Drosophila melanogaster: one gene and its partner. The protein of the gene in region 2 interacts with the protein of the main gene of each other region in a pairwise test. Each region holds a gene or a part of one and is shown on either strand. Other genes may lie near its edges.

Region 1 (4,925 bases), on a different chromosome or scaffold from region 2:
ATTCGAAGTTGGGCAGCACTACAGGTCACTGTAAGAAACAGGAATTGGAAAGCAATAGTTATCGCTTAAAACACCGGAAAAGTTAAAGTCAAATATTTCTTGTATTTTTATTTATCTTTTATTTATAATCATATTGAAAATTAAAACTAATAATAGGTGTTGGTTATCTTTAAAATTGATTTCATTATCAAGTTATTATGCTCGATACGTGCATACTGATTGGCACAAGGCCCACTTTTCCTCAATTTTCCCGCTGTGCAGAGAATTTCCCGCGGCCAGGCAACTTGTGCTGGGCACACTTCCACATCTCTACTGCCACATCATCCACCTCCATCGACAGTCCGTTGCTGGTTTTTGGACTTTTCAGCTTTTCTCACAGGGGCTGGCGTTTTTCGGCTGCCTGGGCGTTTTGTTTGCATAGAAAGGCCGGAGGGGTGGGGCGGCGAGAGGCGGGGCGGTACAGGGGGTGTGGTTCAATTAGCCCGCTTCTCAGCTGCAGCCCTGAAATGCAACAGCTCGACCGGCAGCTTCCAGCTGTGGGAGGCCCAACTGGCACGGGTTAATCTGGATTGGGTTCCGAATAATCACGACTTCTCGGGATCTTCCAAATCAGAGTCTAAGTACATATGTACATTGTTTTTAGTTTTCCTAAAATATTACTAAAATAACATGCTATGTAATCTTACAAATACTTTGAATTTCGTGAATTTTCTGAAACAGAATTTTCAAATGTGTCAGATAAATTCCAATTGTTAAACCCTTTTCTGCAGCCTTACATCCGGTGAAATCTTCCAAGTATTTGTTATGATTTTCGAACATTCTTAACTATCTATATATATTTAGCAATATTTTCCATTTCTAAACGCTGTGATAAAACCACACCTGGATTTATTTTGCTCAAGCTAAGACCATTTAAAGTCGCAATTTCCAGAGTTAGTCTACTTTTGGGGGCAAAGCTGTTGCAATCTAAGTTTCGCTGGTCTTTTCCAAATTTCCTTTTCTTTAATTTAGTCGTTTTCGAGGTAAAAACACGACCATTTCCCCGCAAAACTCCCTTTCGCTGCGACCGATAGTAACGAAAAGTCGAAATGGAAAACAATTTGTCATCTTGCGTGGATTTTCATTTCTATTCTCATACATATATTTCGTATACCCTTTTGTTTTTCCTACGATTTTCAGCTATCCAGTTCTGGGAAAACAACATTGGCGAACATTTAATTGAACGCAATAGTAGTTGTTGCCGTGTGTGCATTTGTTTTCAGTTTTTAACGCAGGCACGCGATGAAAGAGAGGGCCGCAGGACTGTCGAAAGAGACGGCACGAGGGGCACGTGTCCGTGTGCGTGCCATCTCGCTCGCACAGCGGCCATCGCTCTAATTATAGGTTAGGCCCGTCCGATCTGCCATTGGCCAAAGCGTTCATATAGAGGGGGCTGTGCTCTGGGAACTGGTTTTACCCAAAGCAGCCGGGGTTTTTATGAATGAAACTGGAAGGGAAAGGCGCACACACCACCAAAATACGAATACACGAATGCATATATATATATATATATATATCTTTACCCCTGGCACCCATTCGCACCACTCTAGAGAGTGGTGTGTGTTGTTTTATATTTTGTTGTTGCTGTTGTTTTTGGATTGTCTGTACGAGCGTCTCGCTTGCACTGATGGCATCGTTGGCCCCCACGTTGAATTTTGGTTAGTTGGAGTGAATTTACGACTGTGTGCTATCTCACTCGCACCGCTGCGGCAGCTACGCCGGCAGCGGCAGCGACTGTGGCAGCGTTGGTGGCAGCGGCGACATTTAGACAAGCTTTTTGTTCGCGTGAAACAGTTGCAAGCCTTTGAACGATCAGCGACGACGGCGTTACTTTTGGCGCGGATACAGCAGCGACACTTTTTTTTCGTTGGCAGGCGCCTCCTGTCACCAAACAAACAAATAAATAAACAAATAAACATAAAAACAAACAAGCAAATAAATAAACAATAAACCAACAAGCAAACAAACAAACATAAACAAGCCAACAAGCAGCCAAGCTAAACAAAACAACTGTGTGCATTTTTGGTTCGAGTTTCCTTTAATTTCCATCGCTTATATTTCATTTTTTTTTTGCCTGTGTTCCTTAGAAAAGAAGTCTATAAAGAATAAAAAAAATAAAAAAAAAATTAAGCCCATATATAGGCACAAAATCCCAGTGACAATAAGAGCAGTCAAACATTGCAACTCTCAGCAGCAAACATCAGCCGACGGCCGAGTGAAGAAAAGTGCAACGCCGACGGACTCGAGAAAAGATACAGATACAGATACGGATTATACATATCTGGGCTATTAGCTGGGCCATAATCTGCTCTCAAGCGATTTAGCCCACTTTGCTTTTTTTCTGAGTGCGTGTGTGCTTGTGCTGTGCTGTGCTGTGCTGTGCTGTGCTTGCCAATCCATTTGTCCATGTCCTTTACATCTTTTTTCCCTTACTCTCCAAGATCAGTGAGCCTGGCCTGCAACAATAGTCGCAACAAAGAAAAAAGTAGTTGAGTTGAGCAAGAAGAAAAGAATAGAAAATCGAACCCTAAACCCAAGTGGCCGCAAAACAAAGCAGAAGCAAAACAGACAGCATCATTGTGCGCCTCAAATTGACATCAGCAGCAGCAGCAGCAGCCGCAGCAGCAACGACAACTGCCACTGCCACTGCAGCAGCAGCAACATCAGCAGCAGCAGGAGACGCAGCAGGAACATCCACAGCAACCATGTTAACGGACATGACACCGACCGCCGGTCAGCTCTACGGATCCCAGATTCCGGCCATGGGCATGAACATCAGCAATATCGCCACACACTTGCAGAAGCCACAAGTTAATCCGGTAAGCCGAAATCTCAAATCCCAAATCCGAAGATACCAAAACCGCACCTCGAGATATGTATCTGCAAGATAGGTCACTACAGATACGATTTGGTCAGAGCGTTCTTATCGAAGTGTATCTTTCTTTTAACACTGGGCCTCAATTATGCACACTTACCGTCACTTTACACACAATTGCCATCCATCGAATAGAAAACTATCGACAGCATAGCCCAAAAGTAGTAGATTCTATTATACAGATACAATTACAGGGTGTAGAGATACAAATGTATCAATCTGTATAAGAAATTATAAAATTATGCCAATTATGGTGACCATTACTTTAGATACAATTGTCATGTCAGAAAGTTAATATTTGTAATATACAGAATTACAAGCATAATTGGGTCTTAATCAACTGTTCTAGAAAAACTAGTGTTTTTTGCACCCAAAAACGAAAAATGCCAATGTACTAAGAGCAATTTATTACACCCACTATTCGCTTCGCTAAACATTTCATAGTTATCGCTGCAGAGTTTAGCCCGAAAGTATCTCATAGATACATATGTGGGCTCACTGCGCACAAGTGACTGGCAGGCATTTGCTGACTTAGTCATGATTTGATGAATGCCTCCCGCAGACACTCGTGCACTTCGACATAAATCATTCGCGCAGAGAAGTCAAGAAGTTACTTTACGGCAAGTATTTCTGTATCTCACAGTTGCGGCTGCCAAATCCTTACCAATTGTCGCTTATAAAATATATGTACATACGTACAGTAATCGGACAAATCAGCCACTTACACGGCATTAGCATTGACAATAAACAGCCATAAACAAACAATGACAACAGACGCCGCGGATTTCGATTTGTATTCAGTTACGGATACGATTTCGCATCCGAGGAATTCACAGTAGCGCACACCTTTTGTCAGCCGCTCAGCTGGATTCCTTTTGTGAGGCGATGATGATTGGAACTCATCGGGATTGTTTGGTAGTATCTAATGCCGGGGAACGGGATACAAATCGATTGGACGCGGCTTGTTCAGCCCCGGATTTTTTCACTGTTTTCTGTGTGCCAACGGATTTCACGGTATGCGCCGCAGATACATAGCTGCAGATACAGATACTATTGATAGGCTGAGATACTGAGGTACCAGGTAGGCGCCGTTTGCCGTTTCTCGTTTCTCGCTCTCAAAATCAATTATTCAGGCTCACTTGAGGTGTGAAGCTAACGATGGAATCATTCCTGGGTCTACTTAAAATCTTTTTTTGTTGTTTTTTTTTTTTGTTTCATTTGGGGTTTTGGCAAATCTGTAGAGATCGTATTTCCACGCTGACTTTTCGACTCGTATCGCTTATCGCACAGCGGAAGCAAACACTTAAAGGCTAAAACGCATCAGGCAGCCGTTCATAATGATCTTTTGGCCCCGATCCAAAATTCGCTCATCAATCTCGTCCGGCCTTTGATCTGGACCGAAAAACTAAGACAGATTTCCGCTAATGATCGTTTTTGTACGGCTCCTCCGGGCTTTTGCTCTCGATTTCAATTCGAATTTCAGTTAGCTGATTATGCAAGTCCATCGTGCTGGCCCACATCATATGATATTGGTTCAAAACCCTGTAATTCACAGCAAAAGGTCAGCGGCTAGATCAGTTGGCTAAAAATAATTTGTTAAATTCCCCAAATGAAAACTTTGATGTCAATGCTAGAAGTCATTAAAATCAGAATCAGGGTTTGTAAAGTATTTAAAGAAGAATATAGTGTGTTCTAAAGTGTATACTTTAAAAGTTTAGCCAAACGAATAATTAAATAAATAAATTAGGGTTGATTGTACTTTAGATATACTATCTCTGTTCTGAAGGATTAGCCCGAATCGCATGACACTTTTAATAGAGTCAGCAACGCCAAATGGACGCAATGTGATTGAGGCACTTTCAATCTGCTGCCCCTGGCCACCACCTGCCCCTCCCCCCTCCCTCCTTTCCAACGTTCATTTTTCTCCGATTTTTTCACCTTTTTTTTTTTTGTCGAACCAAAGTGCAGACGCCACGCAATTGCGTGTGCCCATAAAAAAAAAAATGTATTT
Region 2 (3,380 bases):
TCAGTTCACTAATATCTTCGATTAATTTAAAGCCTAGCAAATTCTGATAAATATATAAATCCACGATTTAATATTTTAATGGCATTAGACACTTCTCATAAAACTACCATCACAACAGTCGCTGAATGCCAGTGAAAAAATCGGAAGCCACTAGAAAACCAGTTACAACCCTTTTGCCACACATGCTCCCCCCTATCCACTGATACCACCGGCAGCTCTGCATCAATAGGCAAATGGGTGGTGGTGCTGGGAATCCACTTTCAGTGGCACATGTATGCTGGAACGATTCGACAAAATGCTGAAAACGGAATTTGCAAAATGTCACGTCTGACGTTCGCTGGCAACTAAGACGGAAATTTACCACTAAATGACGACCAACCCCCGAAACGAGGTGCCACTGATACGAGGGGCAACCTCAGAGCTCGATGAAGTGCAAAATGGAAGCCCAGACGAGTAACTGCCATTATGGGGAACTTCTTCAAGAGAGATGAATACTTTTACAGTAGTCATGCAGTACGTACATTGATTGAAACAAATTCGAATAAATCAATCCACATTTAATTTCATTAATTGTTTTGGACAATGTTACAGAGGATAAAGGACTCAATCGGTAAGACTCCAGCCAAAGGTATACGGCTTGTTGGCATCCATTGGCTGCATCATGGCATAGCCGTCCCAGCCGCAGGAATCACCACCCGCATTCGTTGGCAGGTTGTAGTAGCCGCAAGGACTGCCCATGGAGGTTTGCATTTGCTGGCGCTGTAAAATCTGCGCCTGCAACGGTTGCATCATCGCGAGATTGTTAGACGGCGAGTGCTGCTGCACCATGACTGGGCCAGGACAACTCACAGAGCTCTGTTGGCTTGGCTTGGACATGTATGAGGGCGCAGGATACCGGGTCTCCATTCGTTGATATATAGGTTGTTGGACAATGGACTTGGGGCAGTTGGTATGTGGCGCCTGTGGCTGTACCTGCTGCATCTGCATGCGCTGTTGCATTGCTGCCTGATGAGCACCTAAGGGTGGCTGTATTGGCTTTCCGTCCACCAATACCGGATAAACTTTCCCGCCAAAGACGAGCCCGCTGCCATAGGTGACCATGCCATTCTGTGGCACTTGCGGTGAACTGTCTTGCACAGTTGAGTTTTTCATTGTAATGGTGTCTCTTTTTTTTTATTAGAATTTTCTAATTCGAATTTCAGCAACCGCACTCCTAAAAGTTGATCAAAATACTGACGAGAGATTTAGATAGATCTGACAACAGAATCTCAGCACTCGCTTGAAAATCCCTCGGCCTGCTAATTAATGTGGCTTAACTCTGAGCAACCACCCTATATTTGCAAGAAAGAAAAACTCAGAGGATTTTCGACCTTATCATCACGTACACTCCGAATTGATAAACTTTGTCAGCTCTCTAGGAAGCGGGAGTCATTTTTAATTAAGCCGAGAGTAGAACTTGAAGAAGGCACCCGAGATTGTCAGAGATAAAAAGAAAAACAAGAAAGGGATAACCAAGATTACTTGAATGTAAAATAACAATGTGAATTCATGTGGCCACACCAATTATGTATACACAAATAACAGAGAAAGAACCTAAAACAGAGTGATTGCCTTAATGGAATTGTTCAAGACTAGTATAAACTGATTTTTGTGTCAGTTCGTTTGAGATGCCTTAATCGAAAAGCCAATCAAAAATTAGAAAAAAATAGTTTGGCTTTCCGACACAAACACAAGAAATTACCACATCCTGGCCCATACCTTCTAAAATTTAATCCGAATCAGGTAAGTTTTTGTGGGTTCTGGGTGTTTAAGAGGTTAAGGTCAAACACGTAGGTCCCACAGGAAATTGCCAACCTGTCTACCCAACATGTTTCCTGATGACTTCGACGTAGAACCCTTCAATCCATTCAATGTGGGACCACCCAATAGTGGAGCCCGATCTGAATTCAAAATACCTACATGCGTTACGTATCCGCCACCGGTATTCGTACCCAAGTCCGAATATGTACAACCATCAGAGGAGTTGGTTTCCCGGAAGAGCAACCAAAGTATAGGCAAGTCGACTATCGGCGAGGTGGACATTTCCAAGGCCATCAATGAAGAGATGGCCGTGGCCAAGAAGCAGGCCGAAGTTCTCAATGAAAAAGATCGCATTGATGCGGGTGGTGTTTCAACAACGAAGCTGTCCAAGGTATCTCAATCAAAGGAAGCGGTTTCAAAGGACTCTTTGCGCACCCTAATGCCAATAAGGTCAAACCGTCAGGTCAGTGGTGATGGTAGAGCAAATTCCAAATTATCCATATCACAATTCAGTGCGGCATCCAAGACGAGCTGCACAAATAAGCAAAGTGAGGGTGACGTGGCCTCAAAGTCTTCGAACATAACATTGAAACGATCTGCAATAGGCAACAGTATTTCCTCAAATACCACCCTCACTCCGAAGTCAATTTTGAAGTCGAAACATTTCTCAGAAGCAGCCAAAGCTTCCTCTACCACAATGAAATCAAAAGTTTCAAATAAGCCATCAGAAACTGGAACGCAGCGCTCCTTCAAATTAAATCCTGCTGACTCAGACTCGAAACAATCTCTAAAATCTGCAAAACCAAAGCATTCCGATTTTAAAATGCAAGATAAGAAGCTGACCAGTTCTCAAGAACAAGCCCCGTCTGTTGTTGCCACAAGTAATGCAAGGCAAGACTCTTGGAATGATCGTGTCCCTTCAAAGACCAACAAGTCAAATGTACTACCTGAATCCAAGGATGGCCCCAGCTATATTCATTCGGAAGCAGCTTTATCCTACAGACAGTCCTTGAACCAGCAGGCTGCCGAAATGGCGGATCGCCTAAACGCCGGAAATGAAAACTTTAGGCGTTACAACTCCGTGGCACGGAATCACTCGATCAAAGTACCTCAAAAACTTACCGATGGGGATCGTATGACATTTTGGTTCAGCGATGCTGTACTTTCCTAGAAACACATTTCCTTGACAAACAAATTCTTAGTTCATATTTACTGAGAACTGCTAGCTATTAAATAGAAAAATCAAATCGAAAATTAAAAGTTTTTACAATATACTTTACTGTTTGGTTAACGAGTCAGAAGAGAGAAAACTAACCTGATTTGCGGTCTATCATTTTTTTTTTTACTGATGTTCAGTGTCATTAATTCAAATGCGCTAAAAATTTGCGGTCACTTCGTTCTGAATGCATTGACCCATAAAATATGCAAAAAAGGTGAGCTCAATTTTGCAAAATAAATGCGGATGCAAATAAAGTATACATAAAAAGGACGCGTCAAACCAATTCAGTAAATTACACAAATGTATACATATCTGATCATATGAAAAAAAAGGATATACATTTTAAATGATATGGCATAAT

What was found.
Region 1: the proteins of CG12307 (region 2) and Sp1 interact in a two-hybrid assay, tested with the Drosophila melanogaster proteins (one large-scale study listed by BioGRID).

The regions. Positions count from the first base shown.
Region 1 is NC_004354.4:9,727,820-9,732,744, forward strand, and holds the start of Sp1 (Sp1), read left to right. Parts: upstream 1-1,828; 5' UTR 1,829-2,064; exon of another isoform or gene 2,065-2,480; 5' UTR 2,481-2,744; coding exon 2,745-2,858; intron 2,859-4,925.
Region 2 is NT_033779.5:11,650,788-11,654,167, forward strand, and holds CG12307 (uncharacterized protein), read right to left. Parts: upstream 1,224-3,380; 5' UTR 1,153-1,223; coding exon 604-1,152; 3' UTR 544-603; downstream 1-543. Other genes in the region: CG4983 (uncharacterized protein), read left to right, coding at 1,868-2,971.